Caenorhabditis elegans: one gene and its partners. The protein of the gene in region 1 purifies or fractionates together with the protein of each later gene. This does not show direct contact. Each region holds a gene or a part of one and is shown in the gene's direction. Other genes may lie near its edges.

Region 1 (5,021 bases):
TTTGGAAATGTAATGTAAGTTAAGGTATGTTGAGTAAGTTGGTGCACAATGTTTAAATAAATAAGTGGTTTTTAGTATTTTCGAAAAAATATCCCCATAAAAAAATGCTCCAAATGCCTTCTCTCTCACCTCTTTTTCAAGAAAATTAACTCAAAAATCATAAATCACATTCAAAAATATTTGAAAAACACACAACGAAATTAGAAAAAAAGAGAGGCGACTGTGGAGAAGGAGGACGGCAATAAGAGAAAAGATAAGAGGGCACAGCCACAAAAGAAAATGGAAACATCAACTGAGTATAGTGGGCAAAAGCGAATGGGCGGAGAAAATAAAATTCATGAATAATTATGGACAATTGAAAGAAAGCGTGTAAATGGTAATATGGGACTCTTGAAACCGACAAAAATTACAGGGATTTAAATTATAATTTAAAAAAAAATAATAATTAAAGGATAATTAAATTTGATTTACAAAGTTCAAAGAAAATAGTTCTATTTTCAGACTGTGCATATTCTATACACTATATGCAAATCAATGCTGTCAGTAACGTAGACATATGTCTTGGGTTACTGTATCACAAAGATCAAATCACTTAAATTTGCGGCAATCATTTTTCAACAAGAATCCCAAAAAAAGAACTCGGCAAATCGGTCCAATTTGTTAGCGTACTCTTGCAACTACTGTTGAGCACTTTAAATTTTCAACAAATTTCTAAAGATTTTCAGACCATTTTTTAAATTTCTATTGAATTAATTTTCTAAATTGCAAAAATTTGCTATGAACTTGCGACGTTTTGTCAAGAAGATGCCTCTGACGTCAAATTTTTCCAGATCTCAATTCAAAATTCAACTCTATATTTAACTCTCAACTGAGTTTGGAATATGTTTTATGATGTATGAAAAACATTAATTTTTTTTGCAAAGTATATAGGAGTTTCAAGCATTTAAATTGGTCAATTGGACAGAAAACAAATTCAAAATACATTTTTTATCAAGAAGTTGAATATGTGGGTAGATCACTCGTAAAATTATAGCCTTGCGGAAAATGTGAAACGAAACAAAACTTTAAAATTTAAAGTAAGAAAATGGCAAAATCGGAAAAAAAATGAGGGAGCTGAACGATTTGAGTAATCACACGTTTCTTTTCAGGGGTTTATAAAATATCGAAAATCGTTTCATATTCACGGTATAGGTGCGGTGAAATCGAATTGTTTCCAATTGTACGACCTGTCTTACAATGATTAGAAAAAAAATAAGTTTTTATTTGTATGGTCCATATAACTTTCCTTTCAAAGGTTTTCAATGTTCAAAGTAGACATAGACCCAAAAAAAGATTATTTCTCTTTAACATAAAACCTGTCTGAATAAAAATCTTGGATGCCGTTAATTTTCAAGGACTAGATAATAGCCTGTAAGCCTATAGGTAAACCATTTTTCTGTAAAACTGTTTAATTCCAACATTCGTGTCTGCGCATCAATGTAGAACACTTATTTGACTTGCAAATAGACAAAACAAAGATAAATGTGACAGTCGCGTATTTCTTTTGATAGGGACAAAAGCTGTGTGAATAATATCACGAGAGAAAACTCATGACAGTGAATAAAAGTGCATGGTTAATGTCCAGAAAGCAAATATTGAATGGTAATTTGACATTCAATTGTTGAATGTAAAAAGACTTATTCATATCTCAGTTTTTATGCGACTATTGTAGTGATTCAAGTACTTCATATTTATAGTAATAATAACTCCAAATGATACCAAATTTAATCTATTCGAATATTTTCAGTTTTATTGTTGTTCACTAGACATCCCCTTTGATGAGAACGGGACGTTTTCCTGGCCCTAATATTCGTCTTCCTAATGCCTACACCGGCAACTTTTTGTAAATTGTTGTTTTTGTAAATTGTTGTTCGGTGTTTTGCAGAGGAAGAAGCTGGGAGGAGACTGTGTCTCTCATTTTGGTGGGTATCTGAAGCTGTCTAAATACGTGAATTTTAAAGTGGCGTGCAGAGGCGTGACGTCATATATGAACGTGCAATTTCAAAAAATCCGTATTCATAATCACTTTTGGCCCTGACTTTTTAATTTTTTTTTCCACTCAAGCCTTTATTTTCTGCCAATTATGCTTCCAGTTCACTGGACAATTTTGCAACTCAACCAGAGCCATGCCATGACACTAAATAAAATTTGAAACTGGTTCAGTAACCTTTCACTGCTGCTCAAAATGTTGCTCAAAATTTGAGTTTATTTTTGCTTTTCAAAAGTTTCAATGTTCCCATCGATTGCAGGTAAGAAAGTTATATTTCTTACGTTTTCTCTTTAGACCTGTGATAAAATTAAATTTTGTTGAAGGTTCTAACAAACCTGGTGCTTCTTCATCAACACTGAGATGGCAGAAATCAACGAGGAGGATCTCATATGTGAAGTTACCTTCTATTCAGTCAAAAGGGAAACAAGGTCAAGTAAGTTATCTGAATAATAGTAACATTTCAACGTAACAGTACATTTTTTGACTGAAAACTTAATGTTTAATATTTAAAAAATTTATTTCGCTGTGAGACCCGCTTGAATGTTTTGTTTATTGTGAAGAATAACCACAACATGAGTAATTAAAAATATCTATGGAAAACTAGAAACTTTTCATATTACAGAAAGTAACCTCTGTCCCTTCTGAAGATGAACCCATACCATCTGATCCTGGACCATCACTTCCTCCGATTCCAACAATTACACCGTCATTGTGCATTGATAATCAATATTTTTCAAACTATATCAGTGAAAAACCAAAAATGGACGATGTTGACTATTTGAGCAGAGCGTTCAGTTCGTAAGTTTACTATTAAACAACATTTTTTTCGATTTGTATTCTATAGGATCTTCCAAAAAATGGTGGTTGAATGTTTTATCCTGATTATATGAAAAGATATTAAAGTTCTGAAACAGTAAATTTTTTTTTTCATCACGAAGTCCGCGACTATTCTTGGAATTTATCTTTGGAATTTTTAAGGCGGCTAAATTAAAAAAAATATTTTTTTCGGCTTCGAATTCTACACATATTCGTGTTGTGAGATTGAATTGATGAGAATTTTAAGTATAAAAATTCACAAATGTTTCATAAGCTTTTTCACTGTTTCACCGGTTGAGATAAACAAAAGCTTTAAAAAATTTGCAATTAGTCTCTTGTCCCGCAAAAAAGTTATTTAATAGCTTTTGTGAAATCTTCCAAAATTTATAAATTACAAAAATTACTGAACATAATCACTTCCCTGATATTATCGAAAAAATACGATCGCACAAATTTCTCATAATATATTTTTGATCTACCTGTTGATCTTGTTGCCGTTGTTATTTTGTTGTGGCTGTCTTGTCAAAGGAAGAGGAGGAGCCTAGTCAACAAGGTAAATCAAAAATAAATTATGAGAAAATTGTGCGATCGTATTCTTTCGATAATATCTCATAGCGATCATACTGTTGCCGGAGTATGATGAACTGTAGATTACTGTAGTATCGCGACGAGATATCCGGTACCTGGTTTGAGAAAGTTCTTTTCAGAAATTTCAATTTAGATTTGCGAAAATCCAGGGAAATCTACATGCTCAGAGAACAAACTATTTCGAGAAGCGGGGACTTCTTGATGCTATTGAATTGTGAGTTATTATGGGGACGCAGAAGAGATTTCAAAGGAGCAGAATGTTCCCTTTGAAATCGATGTGGAAACGCGCTCCACAGCCAATTAAAACCGCCCCGCCTCCCACAGTTGGGTCTCGTATTAGGTGCCAAGACTGTAAATTTAAACTTTTCAGTTAGTTTTGCCGATTTTGTCAGCTATCAAACATTTTTGTTATTTTTTCTGTTGTTTGTTAAATGATTTTCGTGCCGAATTAATTGTTATAAATGCATGTTTAGGCCAGCAGGAAACACATCAAAATAGACGGAGAATGATTAGAAAATGGTAATAATTATATTTAGAAATCGCTCGAATTTTCAGTTTTCCCGCCAAATACCTAGCGAGATAATATTTGCTCATGTGTACTTTAATGCAAAAATAATTTTTCCAGGAACATTGAGCAGCAGAATAATAAAATCAGTGAGGCTCTTGGATGCTTGGCTGTTTGCAATGAAGTAACCGAGAAGTATCAATGTGCTCTGGACAATTCTTTTCAGGTTTTAGTCGATGATTTCTCGGAGAAAGCCTTTAAGTTGAGCAGCTTGACAACTCAACTTCACGCATTACGACAGACTCATCACGCGAATCAGTAAGTGAAGTTTGTTTTGTTTCGCTCTGATGTTGAGAAATTGCAGGCAAGTTCGCAAAAATGAGGAATCTCAACTGGAAGAAATAGCGTGGCGTATTGAAAGGGAAGAAAAGAGAATCAAGAAACTCGACGGAAAACTTTGGAAATTTTATGAGAATCGAGATGGAAAAGGAAAAGATACAACAAAAGAAAGTGCATGAAAATATAAATTAAATCCCAAAATGGACATATAAAATAAAGATCATCTCAAATTATTGGAAGTCTGATAAAGAGCACGACGACCGGGAATTCGAGCACATCAGTTCAACGATTTTTCAGCCAAGTGCCACAGCCCATCGTTCAAATAATGAAGATTTTCAATTCCGTTTCCTTTATTCACAGATTGAATTTCCTCACTGCTCATTGACATCAAACCAATTGCCAACGCATGTTGCTTTCCTTCAGCCATCACAGCAACCACTGAATCCTTTGGTACGAGAGGAGTGAGTTTAGCTCCTGGCGATGTTAATCCAGGACACATTATTGAAGATCCGTTCAGGATGAATTTGATGGCACCTTTGTCGACCTGAAATTTGAATTTTCATCAATAAATGGAAATGTTGAACCAGGTAAATAATCAATTTATAACCAACCTGTTGATGTGGAAGAATGAATGGATACTTGTGAAGTGTTCTCAAAGTTGGAATGTAATCAGTGTTACGTGTTTTAACAAATCGCACGACACCCAGATGATCGGCGAGCAATTCAATGTGATCCTTGCATTTG
Region 2 (7,753 bases), on another chromosome or scaffold:
ATATCTGCTCCTTCATCAACGCATCCTTCAGCCAACTCAACAATCACTGCAGAAACATCAGTTAATACTAGTTTACCTGGTCAATCATCACAGCCAAGTGGTACAACAACTAATACAAATGGACCATCTTCCATCGGTAAATCAGCAAGTCCTGAAGCAGTTGATAAGAAAATCGGTGAAGTTACGAGTACGGAATCAACGAGTAAAGTCGAAGTTGAAGTCAATGGAGCAAATGTTACAATAGGATCATCAAATGGGCGTGATGCTGGATCACCGACTCCGGAAGAAGAAGGAGAACCAAATGGGGAGAGAGATATGCGGTTAGAAAATAGACACATTTTGGAGATCAATGTGCATATTGAAAATGAGTACGTTTCTTTTCTTTCAAAGTATACTTCCTGAATCAGTTCACCCTTTCCTGATAGAATTTTAAATAAGACCCGAAATTTGATGATTCGGGTCTCGACACGAAAAATTTAATGTTAAATGCGAAAAGGCGCGCGCCTTTAAAGAGTACTGTAGTTTTAAAACGTATTTGCTTCGGAATTACAATAGACTTTTCATAGTTTTTTGATGAAAAGTTTAAATATTTAAAAAATAAATATAAAAGTACAACAATTTAAATTTGGACAAAACCAAGATAAAAACTATGAAATTTTGATGAAAATTTTGTAGAAGTTTGAACGAAAGTTACTAACTTTGTATATTATATATTTTTCAAATACATAAATATATTTTTATCGGAAAACTATGAAAATCGATGGAAATTCCGAAGCAACTAGATTTTAAAACTACAGTATTCTTTAAAGGCACCCACTTTTCTGAATTTGCGAAAACAATTGTCGTGTCGAGACCGGGTATCGTATATTAGAGGAAAAAAGTGCAAAGTTCGCATCTGATGAAACCTGATGTAATTATTTACATTAACAAATTAATTTTCAGAGAAATGTCAATTGTTCTTCTATTAGAAGATCAAATGCATCGGCAATTAACAACGTCGATCAACAAGGGTGACAATCCAGAAACTTTGACTGAAAATCTGATTACACACGGTTTTATGTGTCAGGTGAGTGACTTTGTTGGCGTTCTCCCTTAAACTTTTCTTCTCTTCGCTCACTCTAAGTGGAGAATGCAGAAAAGGATAATCTGCTGATAGAGAGACTCTTACGGCTTTCTCAACAAATAAGGACACCGGCAAACACACTGCACGTTGGATGATGGGGGGGGGGGGGGGTGACCTTTTTTTCTTGGTCTATCGAGTTGCTCATAATGATGCTTATCCTCTATAGCGCTAGCGCACGCTGATGGTCACTCGACACATAGCTAACAAACATGCGCGTTGAAAATGATAATATGAGAAGAAGAGAGAATAAACCAAACACTTCAAAAAACACATAAATATCAAAACTTTAATTTCAGCTGGATTCGGAAGGAGTCGAAAAAGCAATTGCAGTGGCTTTTGATATTCGTGCTGCTCGTATTGCAGAAGGTGTTCAGGAAGAGGAGAATGAAACATCAACGAGGTAAATTTCAAAATGAAGTTTTGAAAAACTTTTTAAAAATTAATTTTTCAGAGAGTCAAACTCTGAGGCTCCAATTGAAAACGGTACTTCAAGCTCGATAACGAATTCGGTAAAACCAATTGTTGATTCGGTTGCTCCTTCATCTCAAACACCAACAACAACAACATCTTCCTAGTCTTCAATTTCTGTTTCCAATCATCTCCATCCCTCCATCCCTCCCCACATCCCCGTATTATATTTCCTGTTACAGTTTTTCTCTGTTTTTGTCCAGTTTCCTCTTGTTCCTTTAACCATTTCTGGTGATTAGATGGGGATCTTTTTCTATTAACTCTTTTCTCTTTGAATAGTTCAATATGGGTCAATCGGTATGTCTAGGTTCTCTTATTCACTAACTGCGAGAGCTCTGTGCGCATTTGTTTACCGAGAATTAACCATTTCGATATTGTGAGAGAGATCGCGCTCAAGAAAGATGGGACGACAGTTCCGCCCAGGAAGTAATAGAGCAACGACTGGGCGGGTCTCGGAGCCACCGCCGTGAGCACCACCAAGTCCATAGTCGACGGGTTGACGGTGACTGTGTGCTGTATAGAGGTTTGTCTGTTCGTGTTGACTGACTCTCGGCCCCTTCTAAGATATTTGGTAGTGGTATTTGCGGTCGTGCGAAGAGACGACGGACACGGTCAAACGCCCGACAAATCGTTTGTCCCCCCACTCACTCCCCCCATTATTCCCTATTGATCACTGTGATATAGCAGTTTTCAACAAACGATAAGCGAGCACAATGCTTAAATTAGCGGCTCTGTTGCTGCTTGCCGCTATCGCGGTCCGTGCCCAACACGGAACCGTAGGACGGCCTTGTGAGGTCTCCACAGATTGCGGAACCGGAAATTATTGTGCTGGAAATAAGCGATGTGCCTGTCTGACGACATATGTCGAGATTGATTCTTATTGCTGGAGAAGTAAGTATTTGATAAAATAAAGAGAAACGAGATTACTGTAGATCCCCATACTGATCACCTTCCCCCATTCTCGCTGTGCTAGCTTCTCGCCTTCTCGCTTTCTAACTTTAATTCACATTCTTCTTGTCGTTTTCATCATTATTCATATTTCACGTACATTTGTGTATTCATGTTGAATGCATGCGTTTTTTCATGTTAGGCACTTTTCCGTTTTTCCCCTTCATAGTCCCATCAAACTTTCATTTCAATTCTTCGTTTCCTTTTTATCTATGTGAAAATGGCATCGAAAACGTCTAGATTCCCTACAACGATTCCCGTAACACGGGCTCCAAAATTTCTAGGTTTTTACCCGATATCCGCCGTGAGTTGCTCGGGTCGTGCCAACTTCTAAAATGAGATCTCTTGGCACAACGAACCGAAAACTCCCGGCGTCTTCGTTCCCCATCCAGTTTGTTCTCCTAAGCTCATATCGTGGCCCCATCCCTTTAGACTTTCTTCTTTGTTTCTCACAATCTATATTCTTTTTATTTTGGCAAATACTATGTATGGCATTTTAAATTGTGATTCTATGTATCTTCCAACGAATAATGCCATACAAAGAATTTAGTATCCTGATTCGTTTTATCTCGCGCTGTTATCCTCGTCTCCCGTGTTTTTAGTATACCCTAGGTCCTTCTATTTTCTTCTCTTGTCAAAACGAAACATCCAGAACCAACACGGATGCTCATCAACATTATTTTTTATTGTTTCGTTTCATTGCTTATCGTCGTCGTTTTGCTGGGTTGTTGTTCTCCATCCTGGCGGGTTGCTCTTTTAACTTTTTTCTCCTCATCCGATTTTAGTTGTCGTTTCTGCAAAATTTGAGTCACAAAAATGCCACCAGCGCAAGCACACACACATATATAAGCCTAACTTATTTTGCCACCGACTGCTTTTCTCTTATTTTCTCTTTTCTTACCTTCCTTGTGAACCATTTTCTTCTTTGATGCATAAATAAATTATGAATTGATTATTCACTTTCTCAATCTTTCAAACTAACACCTAAATCGTTTTTTTGGTACATCAGTAAACGTTTTTAAGCAATTTGACCCTTTATGATACAGTTTTTACGAAACAATTTGTAACAAACAAATGTTGAAAAGTGAGGATTTAAACTCAATAAACTCGTTTCGCACGAAAAATAAATTTCCAATTTTCCATTTCTTGAGTCATAAGTGAAAACTGCAATGTAGTTGAAATTTTTACTAATTTTCTTCAATTGAAATGAAATAATATATTTAGAAATCAATCCGGGAGAGTCTGGATGTACACAAAATCGACAATGTGAAGCCGTTTGGCCAGGTGCATACTGTAGATCAGGAGAATGTCGATGTGCCAACAATCAACCACCATTCCGTACTCGTGATGGTCTTGTGTGTCTCAACTATGGATTCTGTCCACTTAACGGAAATAATCCAAAGTTCCGCATTGAAAACCAAGTTCAACAGTGCTACGGAGGAGCCGATGCCACGTGTGAAGCTATTGGAGCTCTTTCATACGATTGTATTTGTGATTCTGATGATTGTACCGTCAACAATCCTATCAGTTTCTGTTGTCCATCACGTGCATTTGCTTGTATTCAACCACCAAATGAAGGATACACTCCACCAGGTGGTGGTACTACTTTGAATCATTGGTACCATGACCCAATTACCGGAGAATGTAGAGAGCTCAAATATCAAGGATACGGTGGAAATGCCAACAACTTCCAGACAAAGGATCATTGCGAGTCTTACTGTAAACAAAGTGAGTTTATATTTATTGAATGAAATTATATGGTTAATTTGCGATGTATACATATAGCCTCAATGAGCACAGTAGACTCAGTTTAATAGTCTATATGTGAATCGTCCTACCACCATGCCAATAGTGTGAGGTTGCTGACGGACACATAGAAAATTAACCGTGTTTAACAACTTCCAATTTGAAAAAGTCAAATTCTACTTTAAAATTAAAACTGTTCAGCCTGTAACCGCGGTCTTCCATTGTATCGTGACCGTACAACTGGAGTCAAACAAGAGCCAGTTTATTGTCAAGGAAATGACAATGGATGTAACAACCCGAACTATCAATGTACAACCATGGGAACTCTTCAACAATGTTGTCCAACTTACTGTAAGTTTATGAGAGTTTACCGAATTTTGATATTAAGAGAATAAAACCTTTGAATATTCAAGATGGTACTTATTAATTTAAATTTTTAGTGTTCATCTGCTCTCGAAATGGAGGAATTCCATCAGAAGTCTACAATACAGCCGGAGGTCTACCAACCGAATACTTTGATGTCGGAATCCCAGATGGTTCTGGAAACACTTCGCCAAGATTCTACTACGATTCGCGAGAAGGACGTTGTATTCAATTCTCGTATCTCGGACAGGGAGGAAACTTTAACAACTTCCTTTCTCAAGATCACTGTGAGAAATTCTGCTCAAGAAGTAAGGAAACTGTTTTCTTTGAAGAATTTTAACTTTAAACATGTATATTTCAGTTCTCTGTTCTGCTGGAGAACCACTCAAGGATTCATCTGGAGAACGCAACATGGAATGCTCACCAACTGGTTCTGGAGCCAACTCATGTCCATCTACTCACTCCTGTGAGTCTACTTCTGGCTCAACTACTTTCGGAGGAGTCTGTTGTCCACGTCCGCAGTACGTGTGCAAGTTGCCAAGAGAACAAGGTAACTGTGGAACATATTCCAATCGTTGGTGGTTCAATGCTAAAACCGGAAACTGCGAAGAGTTTATCTATTCTGGATGTCAAGGAAATGCTAATAACTTCGAAACGTACAAAGAATGCCAAGATTACTGTAGAGATGCTCGCAGTGAGCCACAATGTATTCAAGGAACCGCTCTTACTGATTCCAACGGAAACTTCATTATCTGTGGAGGATCTTCAGCTGCTTCTACCACCTGTCCAGCTAATCATTACTGTTATTATGATGGAACCACCTATGGATGTTGTCCAACTCAAGCTTACACTTGTTCATTGTCTTACAAATCTGGAGCATCTTGTGGACCAGCTGTCACTCGTTGGTATTATGATTCTACAACTAGAACTTGTCAGACATACTCTTTCAATGGTTGTGATGGAAACTCTAATAACTTTGCCACTCAACAAGATTGTAAGGATTACTGTAGAGTTGAATCATGTCCAGATGGAGGAGAAGTATGGAAGGAGCAGAATGGAGCAGCACGTGCTTGTACAACTAACCGACAATGCCCATCTACTCATTACTGTACACCAGTTACCACATGGACTGGAACCGTTTACCAAACAAAGAGTCTCTGCTGTCCATCAAAGAATTTCGTATGCTCTCAACCACGTGACGTCGGAGTTAGATGTTCTAGCACAAGAATCTCCAGATGGTACTTCAATGCTGATTCAAAGACATGCCAAACATTTGAATATAATGGATGTGAAGGAAATCGCAATAACTTTGCTTCTCAAAAGTCTTGTCAAAACTATTGTCTTTCGGAAGCCTGTCCACCAGGAACTGTTGTTGCCAAGGATGGAGATGGAAGCAGACTTGTTCAATGCTCAAATCCAGGTGGAAATGGAAGAGTTTCCGGTGGTTGTCCCGATGGTTACACTTGTTATTCTTCACCACTTCTTGATCAGAATGTTTGCTGCGGAGCTTCGACTGAACTTCAATGTTAGTTTTTTTAATTACAGCTTCTTAAACATACTTTTTATCTTTCAAAATTCCAAAAATTAATTTCCAGCTCTCTGCCCTGCTGCTTCAACTCCATTCATTTCTGCTCTCTCACTTCAACCAATGCAATGTACTCCAAATGTTGATGGAGCTTGCCCTGGAAACTTCTTCTGCTGGTTCTCAACTACAACAACATCAGTCAATGCTTTCTACTGCTGCAGATCCCCAGACTCTGTTGATACAGGATGTAAGTATCTTCGAGTTAACCCTCATAATTTAGTCATTTTCTTTTAGACTGCCCACCACAACTTGTTCCTGTACCAGGAGAAAACGGAGCCCAGTACAAATACTGCTCTCCATCAGCTCCACTCAATGACGCCATCCAGGGTTGTGGAGCCAACAGACATTGCCAATTCTCCACTAATTTGGAAAGATATATCTGTTGTGGACTTGAGTCAGATGTTCGATTGCCGAATGTTTGCCCACCACAACCAGCTAATTTGGTTCCAGTCGAGTTGGCTGGAAACTATAGGACGTGCAATCCGTAAGTGAAATTTGATTTGAAAAATTGAATGGTTTTCAATTTTGTATAATTTTAGATATGCTCGTGCTGGAACTCCACAATCTTGTCCAGACAACTCAGCATGTCTTTACACGGGCAATGACAATGGATTCATCTGTTGCAGAGTTCAGTTGGGAAATGGAAAGAGTTAAACAAGAGCTCCGGGGTTCACGACTTTGTTCTCTAAAATTTCTAAATTCTTTCATTTATTTTTTGATGTTTTTTCTTGACTTTTTCGCCATCTCATTCCCACGTACATGTGTATTCCCCACCAAACAAATAATTTTTCTGCATAACTTACACTGTACGGTTGTCTGTTTTTCCTCTATCAATTGTTCATTTTCCTCTCATTGTTTTTCCATGTAACTGGAAAAAATCGATGCCAAAAAGAGCCTGAAAATCAGAAATCTATATTTTCAAAGTTCTGTTTTGACGTCAATCGTATTGCTATTTTTAGCTATGTTTTGAGTTTTCTTCTTTTGAAATAAAACGAAATTTCCAATTCTAAGTTTCCCATTATGTGAAATCAGAAGGCTGCCATGTTTAAAGTGTAAAAAGTTATTATTGAAAAGTTAAAATATCAAGATGGTTAGAAGATCATACTCAACTCGTGAGCATTTTTCTTATCTAGAAATGTTCCACTTTTACTTTGCTCAAGTAGAACTCTACTGGGGGAAAATTACAGAAATCGAAAATTTTTTTTGGTGCCCGCGTTTCCTTTTTCAAGACTTCGTGTACGAATTCATTCGTTTTTTAAAATGAATTTAGATTTTTTAAATTAGGTGTTGATTCAAATGTTTTTGAGAAAAACGATAACCATCACAATCATTTTTGAGAGGAGACCAGATTCAATCTACAGTACCCCGGCATTTTTCTAATTCAAGTTTATGTGGATTGGAAGGTTATTTTTATGGAAGTATAGAAATCATTTACCACTTCCAATGATTCATTTCCAATATAAACCAAAAATATAGACAACTTTGTCACAATAGAGATCGATGAAATAACAATATAAACA
Region 3 (4,476 bases), on another chromosome or scaffold:
TGTTTTTTAATAATTTTTATTAACTTTTATTCACCTATGTTAGTATCAGTTTTATGGAAAATATCCTCGACACTGGGATCTCGTGAGCCTCGATCTTCTCGCAGAAGTGCAGTTCTGTCATCAATATCTGTAAATCTTTAGAAATTAAAGCTTTATCTCAGCAAAAAAAAACTAACCAATAAGAATTTCGTCTTCTTCGTCTTGGCTTAAAGCCGATTGTACGCCTAACGCCATTCTCATTCGGCTAACTGGAATTTTCACTTTTGAAAGTGCCATAAAATCTTGCTCGGATACCATATTATTCACTCGTTTTATTTCGGCTACCTGAAAAATATTGCAAATAAAATATTTTATTGAAACCGACAGAACTCACATTTACTTGATATTTTATTGCCAATTTATTGAGTGTATCGCCGTTTTTTACTTTTCTTTCAATAAAAACTACATCCTTGTATGTGGGCATATCGTTTTGGAAACCTTCACTCGATGAAGTCCTTGCTGCACGACTTCTCATTGCAAATTGCTCCACTGAGCTGCCTTCTTTCATTGCCATTTTACTGAAAATTAAATAAATAAAAATAAAATGTATTTTTCGAAGTTGTCAAAATCCACGAGACACTTAAAAACATCGTGTATAAATCAGAGACGCAGACACAAGTACAGTAATTTTGAAGGCGCCTATCTCGAAACCATAAAATGTGTCCTAACGCGCGTGTGGATTTACGGGCGGAACAGAATCAGCCTTCGAAACGTTAAACTTGTTCAATCCTGTTTTTTTTTATTTTTCTGTATTATTGTAATGATTTTGCCTTTTTTCAGCAAGTAAATTGATAAAACAACACCTTTTACTAAATTTTCTTACATTTGACACATAAACAGCTTTAAAACGCTTAACAACGAAACAATTTCACTAAATAAAAATTTTAACGTTTCAGAGAATGTAAAACTATCGGTTTAATCTATTTTCAGAGTTTCAGCGAACTTAATAATAATCAAGTTTTTTTGCGAAAAAATATATCCAAAATTTGACAAATTATGTCACATTTTCAGATGAATTCCTCATTAAAAATTAAAAGAAAATAGGAAAACGTACCCATGGGTGCACCTTTAACGTCAACGTTTAAACAAGATTAAATAAATACTTTAAAAAAGTGTCCTAGAAGAATGTTATAGTTTTTCACTAATTTATTTTTTAAAACTTGATTAAAACGGAAGAAGCTTCGAAAATCTTCTTTATAATGCATTAATGTCTTATCTCTCAAATTACGCATTAATTGTACGATATCAAGTGAAAGAGAAAGTCAGATGATAGTACATTTAGTACAGTTTTTCACCAAAAATTATGTGTTCCATTATTTAGTTTACATACGTGGTATAATTTTAAATAATCAATAAAAACTGAAATCCACGTCGCAGGATGCCGTAGCTACAGGTGCAAAGAGATTATATCTGGCTAGCTGTTTCCACGCAGCGGGACGCTGCGACAAACGCACGCAAGGATCCGGAAGAAAAAGAGAAACGAAACAGAAAAAAACAATATGCAATGTGTCTATTGTATACCCGTCTCGCACCCTCCATTTGCTTTTCTATTTTTCAACTGGCTTTTGCTGGCCGCCCTTTCCAATGATCGATAAATTGCGCTCTACCGAACACCTCGGCTGCCCTGCTACCGCCCTTTTCCTTGGCTCTTTAATTTAAGGCTTAACATATTTTATTAATGATTCCTGATGTTAAATTTTGATTTTCCAAAATATGATCGTCTAGATAGTCTCAAAAAATGTGCATCGTAAATACTTTTTCATTTTCTTTCTCGCTCAATTTTTCCTTCCATCTCAAATATTTTTGTTTCCAGGGTTCAGAATGCTTGGCAAGTGCATCAAAAAGGCGTCGTCTACCGTCGGACAATCCATCAGATACAGCTCCGGAGACGTAAGAAACCTCGAAACTTTATAAAAAAGCCAGTTTTGTTCAGGTTCGCCGTGTCACTTTAATTCCAGGAGACGGAATTGGGCCGGAAATTTCAGCTTCTGTACAGAAGATTTTTGAGGTGAATTTTCAATTATTTCGTGTGTCTTACATCATGTTATTTCTAGGCCGCCGATGCCCCGATTGCTTGGGACCCAGTTGATGTGACTCCAGTTAAGGGACGCGATGGAGTCTTCCGTATTCCAAGTCGTTGCATCGAGCTTATGCACGCGGTTAGTTTGAAAATTGTACATTTATTTCTGATTGTTACGTTTTTCAGAACAAAGTTGGACTTAAAGGACCACTCGAGACCCCAATTGGAAAAGGACACAGATCTTTGAATTTGGCTGTGAGAAAAGAGTTTAGCCTTTACGCCAACGTTCGTCCATGCCGTTCCCTTGAAGGACACAAGACATTGTACGACAATGTCGATGTTGTCACAATTCGTGAGAACACAGAGGGAGAGTACTCTGGAATTGAGCACGAGGTATATTAAATTAAATAATAAATGTATCACCTAATAATTGTTTCAGATTGTCCCGGGAGTTGTTCAATCTATCAAGCTTATTACTGAAACTGCTTCTCGCAATGTCGCCAGCTTCGCCTTCGAGTATGCTCGTCAAAATGGGCGCAAAGTTGTGACTGCTGTCCACAAAGGTAATATAAATTGAAAAAGAAAATTAAAACAATTATTTTTACAGCCAACATTATGAGACAATCCGACGGTTTGTTTTTGTCCATCTGCCGCGAGCAAGCTGCCCTCTACCCAGATATCAAGTTCAAGGTATGAATAATAGAATTTAAAGAAAAACCACTTCCTGTTAAAATTTATAATCTATAATTTTAGGAAGCCTACCTCGACACAGTTTGCTTGAACATGGTCCAGGATCCATCACAATACGATGTTCTTGTCATGCCAAACTTGTATGGAGACATTCTTTCCGATTTGTGCGCTGGTCTTGTTGGAGGACTCGGAGTCACCCCATCTGGAAATATTGGAAAAGGAGCCGCCGTATTTGAGTATGTTTTTTGTTAAAAAATGCTTTGACAAATGAAATGAACTCAGTTTAGAATTTTTGTTAATTTCTGAAATTTCAGATAAACACATAGAAGTGAAATCGAAAGCAAAAAATACGAAATTATAAAAGTAGGAAATACTAAAAAAGTTGAATTTGATGAAATCTTGCATTTTTTTAATCTTCTCAATAAAATTTAAATCTAATTTTTTTTAACCTGAAAACTTTATTTTATAGCGAAATACAATTTTTTATTCAAACAAAACTTACCAAATTTCTTTACAGATCCGTTCACGGAACCGCCCCAGATATTGCTGGACAAGACAAAGCAAACCCAACTGCTCTTCTTCTATCTGCCGTCATGATGCTCCGTTACATGGTTTTTATATCGTAGTCGGTCTAAAAATTTTACAAGCTCATTTTCAGAACCTTCCACAACACGCTGCTCGTATCGAAAAGGCTGTATTTGATGCAATTGCTGATGGACGTGCCAAAACTGGAGATCTCGGAGGTACTGGAACTTGCTCTTCATTCACCGCTGATGTTTGTGCCCGTGTTAAAGACCTCGAATAAATGCTCAATGCTACTTCCCCTTCTATTTTCTTTTTCTTATTGTAAACAGGCTGTTAGACACTAAAACACTTTGATGATTAGTAATGATTTAATGACACCTTTTTTCGGTTTTCAATTTTGTATAGATTACCCACCAGTCCATCCCGCGTCCTTAATCGCTTTACTCCTATCCCATTGGCATGAACCACAAAATCGTTCGATAAGTCTTCTCTGATTCACTCGCATAACTATAAGCACCCCGAGACTTTTGTTTTTTCTTCTTCTACACCATCTTTCGATTCCCATTATTTCTGTTCATTTCTGGAAATTTTTATATGGTTTTTTCTTTTCGAGATTTTATAGACAAAGAAACTAAAAAAATTTATTAAAGCAATCGTTTCTACATAATCACAATAAGTTACAGCGTCGCGTGGATTCGGGTTACAGAAGTCACGAAAATCAGAAGAGTTTGAATGATACCCATTATTGCACAATACCAAGTGCTCACAGCCTGAAAAATGTTTTTTCCCTCAACTTTTTAACTTCTTGAAAAGTAAATTTTTTTTAACGTACATTTTTCGAAGCGTACATTGCCAGTGCGAGAACCATTGACGTAGGAGCACCAAAAACGAAAGGAATGATGAACATCATTACTGAAAAGTTGAAATTATGAAAAAAAAAAGATTTTCAGAATCTTACTGATAAATGGAATTGGAATAAAGCAAACGTATGGATGTTTTCGAAGAGTGAAAAGGGAAAGAATTGTGGCTCCGAGACTAATTACCTGGAACAATTGAAACATAAAAAATAGTTTCTGAATAAAATATGTCATATTACCCGTAGCAAATTATGCCAAAGAATACAGACCCCAGTTTCGACACGACTAATATACTTGTTGAGTGCATGGTGTGCGTTCATCTGTTTTTATCGTTATTTATTTTTG
Region 4 (3,895 bases), on another chromosome or scaffold:
TTCGGCGATATTTTAGATCTTCGCAAATTCAGGTTTTTTTCCGAAATTTTCTTTTCCTTCGAGGTGCTCCTTCTTTAACGAAATTTCTCATTAACTGTACCTAGTATGTATATTCCGTTCGAGACCTCCTCTCGCAATAACTCGTGGCGTATTCGGAGTAGTTGCCCATATTTGAGAGTCATTGTTGCCTGAAATAAAAAAAAGTACATACTTTCTCATTCTTCCTCATTTTTATTTTTGTGCCTTCATTGGCCTCATCACCTATTCACGGGTTCATCTGGCACACACACACACAAATTTACTGGTCAGCGACTGAGCCTAGAGGAGGATGAAAACAGAAGCAAACTCTTTTTTTCTTTCAATGGCTCACACTAATCTCTGTGTCTTTCCTGTACACGCCTTGTTCTTCTAAAAGAGAGATTCTTTTGGCGATGCGACGACAACGAAAAGAGCACCGAATGCAAATGTGATTTACGCCCTCAGGGCTATACATATCTACAATTTCACATGTGCAGCAACACAAAGTCTCTTTTGTCGGTGTGCACACTCGGCGGCGGCAATGTTCAACAGGCCTTACGTGGAATATGAGGCGCCACACAACAAATTGCTCGACTCTTCCAGTTTTGCTATTTCCAGCCCGGAAGTGTGACTCTATTTCTTGCAGCAGCAGCAGCTAGGTTGATCTAGTTTGGAGCTCCTTTAGAGCTCCGTTTTCAAGATCAGGCCTTGTTGCTCTAATAATCTCGTTGTAGATCTCTATAGAGTTAGTCCACGAAAAGTTTCAAAGCTTCATCTGATATCCGTTTCATTCAAAAGTCTAATTCAGTTTTTTTGAAAAAGGGGGTCTCCCTCTCCAATTTTCATGAGTGCTTCTCACGCCTATCGGACGCCTTTTTGACGTAGAAGAGAAGATAATCAAATTGTTTCGATTTCAAATTTCACATTCACAGATCTCCTTCTCTAGTCAATAGGCTCTCTCGTCAATCAGAGTTCAGTCGCGGTGACACCCCCGAATCTAATTTGATTTTCTCATCGTAGAACTTTTGTTCACATTCGAGACGAATTTCAGAACGAAATTCAGAATATCGTGTGCAATTCGACTCCTCCTTCCCCTCCCACGTCTTTTTTCTTCCTTATAGCTGCCAGAACACATCGGACGTCGTTGTCAATCATTTTTCTTATTTAGTCGAGGACGTATTTTGTTTTTACATCTGCTGCTGGTCTCATCTTGCAATGCTGAAGCACCAAGACGCCGCCCCATTTATCATATTCCGGACGCTATTAGTTAAGTCGGGCGGCCGCTCCAAGTTTTACTCGATTTTAAAAAGAAATCGGCTCTGCATTTTCATTGTTTTGAACCTCCTATCACATGAGTGACCTTCTTCTCTTTATATAATCATCTTTGAGAAGATCGACGCACTTCCTTTCTCAATTTTTTTCTGTGAAAATTGCATCTTCGACGAGAATGTCTGAAAAACAACTTCTTCAGCTATTTCTTTGAATAATGTTACGTCCTCGTGAGCTCATCATAACATATTCGAATACCCATAATTATTCATTATTCACCTTCGCGAAAAGAGCATGCTAAACAACTGTGTGCTCTTTCTACTCTCTTTGAAGCTTCCGTTGCTATAAACAGATAGAAAAGAGAAAATCCATTCTTTGATTCATTCTGTTCTTTTACGATTGGCTCAGTTAGGATAGATGAGATACTTAATGATGAAGCTCATTTTCAGTGTATCAGAGATCTTCCGGACTATGCAACAAAATGGGCAATCAGTCTGCTCGTCAACTATCTACACATCGAAAACATGTAGTACATACGTGGAATACAATAAACTCGCACGATCCACAGCTTCTGAGTGATGCCATTAGGTGAGCTCTTTTTTCAGACTGTTCCTGAAAAGCAATTGTTTTCAGTGAGGCTTGGCTCAAATCCGCCGAGTTAACACCCACATGGGTATGGGCTCTTGTTGATCTACCAGAGACTATGCACGCTACCTATAAGGAAAATGCTCAATTTCTCAACATCATCAATCAAGTTCGTGACTTTCTCAACATACTCATCAAAGTTCACAAATGTGATCCAGAAATGATCAAGACGCTTTCCTTCCGTCTCGGAGCACGCCATCGGTTAGTCATATGCGTGGGTGGGACAACACTCACAAAAATGTTTATAGACATTATATGAATGAGGGAAATGACAACTGCTTTTGGGCTCCGTTTGCCCAACAACTTCCGATCGCCATGAGCAAAATGTACATGCGGGTTGTCACAGAGGATAGCAAGTAACTTTTTGACAATTTACATCACGGGTGGGAAATCAACTGGTTTTCAGAATTCGGCGAATATTGAGAATAAGGTCTAGGGCAGCGGAGAAAAGTGAAGAAGAAGAAGTTTGTGAGTCTTGGAGACAGTTTTCCTGCATGTTAATCGAATCAATGAAACGAGGATATGAGGGATGTGCAAGTGAAAAGACACCTCTTCGGTTAAGCATTACAAAGTAAGTGCTCTTCCATATCTTCCACAAAAAAATCTAAACATTCCAGCTCGATAATCTCAATGGCATCGATGCGTTCATCACGTTCCCGATCCGCCTCCCATTTTCTCGAACCGAACATGTCGCCGGCAATCGGTGCGTCTCAAGTTCATCATTCACATTCGTGTCGTAGCTCACCATCATCTAAACACCGCCCACCACCACCTCGTAGATCACTTAGATAGTTTTCTCGATATTCTTCAGTTGATTTTGTTCGCTTCTACACTTTCCTTCTCACCACGTATATATATATATATATATAACAATAAATACACTAACTTCTAGGTTTGCTGTGTGCCGTGTGCTTTTCGTTTTATAGTTTTTTTGTTGTTGGTTTCTGTTGGCTAAATTCATATTCTAATTTACTCAAATCTAGCTCCAATGTGTGCTCTTCTTGGCTCAACAGAGAGCAACTCGACGACTACAACAACTCAGCCATCATCTCCAATTACTCCATATCGACGAAGAAGTATGTTCCGCGCGGGTGGAGCTCTTCAAAGGAATAGCCAAGACTTCACAGCACTACGGTATGTAACAATTTGACGGACATCAGCTATAATTCTCACTTCACGTATTTTCAGAAACCGCCGTATGTCTTCTCCCAACAACCCGTCAATTCTTCTAAATAATTGCGACATTCAACTGCTCAAGTTGACGTCTCAATTGAGCCCCCTCGAAGATCAAGTCAAACAGAATCGAGTGCCAGGACGAGCGCATCAGCAACGGCGAAGCATAACACTTTTAAATTTTGATCATCATCATCGTGCACGATCGCCCACGACTTGAGGTTAATGGTGCTAATAAATTTTTATGAATTAAAAAAAAAAATTACCTTCAAAATTCGGTGTTGGAAGTGTTGCAGGGTAGCCTGGAGCGTTCGGGTTGTTTGGAGTAGAATGTCCAAAACCGGATCGCAGATGAGGAGTGAACGGTGAGCGGCTATCAATTTCCGAGCTGATCACTTCGGAGAGCACATTTTCTGGAAAATAATTATGATTTTTTGTTGAATATAAATTAACTCGGACTTCCACACTATATCATAATTGAAAATATTTATTTTTTAGTTTTTAATCACAACTCTTTCTAATTTAACATTTGATTTTTTTAGTAGTTTTTGGGGAAAATCGAATTATTTCCTGTTCGAAACGAGGTTTTTTTGGTTTTTAACTTAAATCACTGTAAATTAACTAAATATTGACGATTTGAATGTCTGATACAATACGAATAATATATTTATCCAAAAGCTCAAGTTTTCAAAAATTACCGGCGGGAGAGTTGAGTGTCGGATCAAAATGCGTAGTTCTGCCGGCAGAATTCGGCGCCAAACTCGACGCGAACATTGTTGAATCAGACGGT

The links.
Region 2: the proteins of C11D2.3 (region 1) and K10D3.4 fractionate together in Caenorhabditis elegans (co-fractionation; one large-scale study listed by BioGRID). This does not show direct contact.
Region 3: the proteins of C11D2.3 (region 1) and idha-1 fractionate together in Caenorhabditis elegans (co-fractionation; one large-scale study listed by BioGRID). This does not show direct contact.
Region 4: the proteins of C11D2.3 (region 1) and glb-4 fractionate together in Caenorhabditis elegans (co-fractionation; one large-scale study listed by BioGRID). This does not show direct contact.

The regions. Positions count from the first base shown.
Region 1 is NC_003282.8:6,150,168-6,155,188, forward strand, and holds C11D2.3 (BLOC-1-related complex subunit 5), read left to right. Parts: upstream 1-1,645; 5' UTR 1,646-1,735; intron 1,736-1,786; 5' UTR 1,787-2,269; coding exon 2,270-2,288; intron 2,289-2,352; coding exon 2,353-2,462; intron 2,463-2,651; coding exon 2,652-2,827; intron 2,828-2,876; exon of another isoform or gene 2,877-2,897; intron 2,898-3,172; exon of another isoform or gene 3,173-3,197; intron 3,198-3,566; coding exon 3,567-3,647; intron 3,648-4,058; coding exon 4,059-4,256; intron 4,257-4,302; coding exon 4,303-4,456; 3' UTR 4,457-4,510; downstream 4,511-5,021. Other genes in the region: C11D2.7 (PUA domain-containing protein), read right to left, coding at 4,555-4,821, 4,889-5,021.
Region 2 is NC_003279.8:7,134,223-7,141,975, reverse strand, and holds K10D3.4 (BPTI/Kunitz inhibitor domain-containing protein), read left to right. Parts: upstream 1-2,002; 5' UTR 2,003-2,304; coding exon 2,305-2,482; exon of another isoform or gene 2,483-3,494; intron 3,495-3,763; coding exon 3,764-4,267; intron 4,268-4,486; coding exon 4,487-4,636; intron 4,637-4,725; coding exon 4,726-4,956; intron 4,957-5,009; coding exon 5,010-6,173; intron 6,174-6,243; coding exon 6,244-6,420; intron 6,421-6,467; coding exon 6,468-6,717; intron 6,718-6,772; coding exon 6,773-6,887; 3' UTR 6,888-7,238; downstream 7,239-7,753. Other genes in the region: hpo-11 (Protein kinase domain-containing protein), read left to right, coding at 1-368, 943-1,066, 1,420-1,523, 1,575-1,698.
Region 3 is NC_003279.8:8,606,008-8,610,483, reverse strand, and holds idha-1 (putative isocitrate dehydrogenase [NAD] subunit alpha, mitochondrial), read left to right. Parts: upstream 1-1,852; 5' UTR 1,853-1,860; coding exon 1,861-1,929; intron 1,930-1,972; coding exon 1,973-2,047; intron 2,048-2,093; coding exon 2,094-2,198; intron 2,199-2,245; coding exon 2,246-2,452; intron 2,453-2,498; coding exon 2,499-2,622; intron 2,623-2,666; coding exon 2,667-2,749; intron 2,750-2,812; coding exon 2,813-2,985; intron 2,986-3,266; coding exon 3,267-3,360; intron 3,361-3,407; coding exon 3,408-3,554; 3' UTR 3,555-3,935; downstream 3,936-4,476. Other genes in the region: lmd-1 (LysM domain-containing protein), read right to left, coding at 35-127, 177-324, 374-553; F43G9.13 (Vesicle transport protein), read right to left, coding at 3,952-4,044, 4,107-4,186, 4,233-4,317.
Region 4 is NC_003280.10:11,109,043-11,112,937, reverse strand, and holds glb-4 (GLOBIN domain-containing protein), read left to right. Parts: upstream 1-1,730; 5' UTR 1,731-1,768; coding exon 1,769-1,875; intron 1,876-1,920; coding exon 1,921-2,133; intron 2,134-2,180; coding exon 2,181-2,288; intron 2,289-2,338; coding exon 2,339-2,503; intron 2,504-2,549; coding exon 2,550-2,635; intron 2,636-2,915; coding exon 2,916-3,066; intron 3,067-3,120; coding exon 3,121-3,325; 3' UTR 3,326-3,367; downstream 3,368-3,895. Other genes in the region: apc-1 (Anaphase-promoting complex subunit 1), read right to left, coding at 101-188, 3,372-3,518, 3,804-3,895.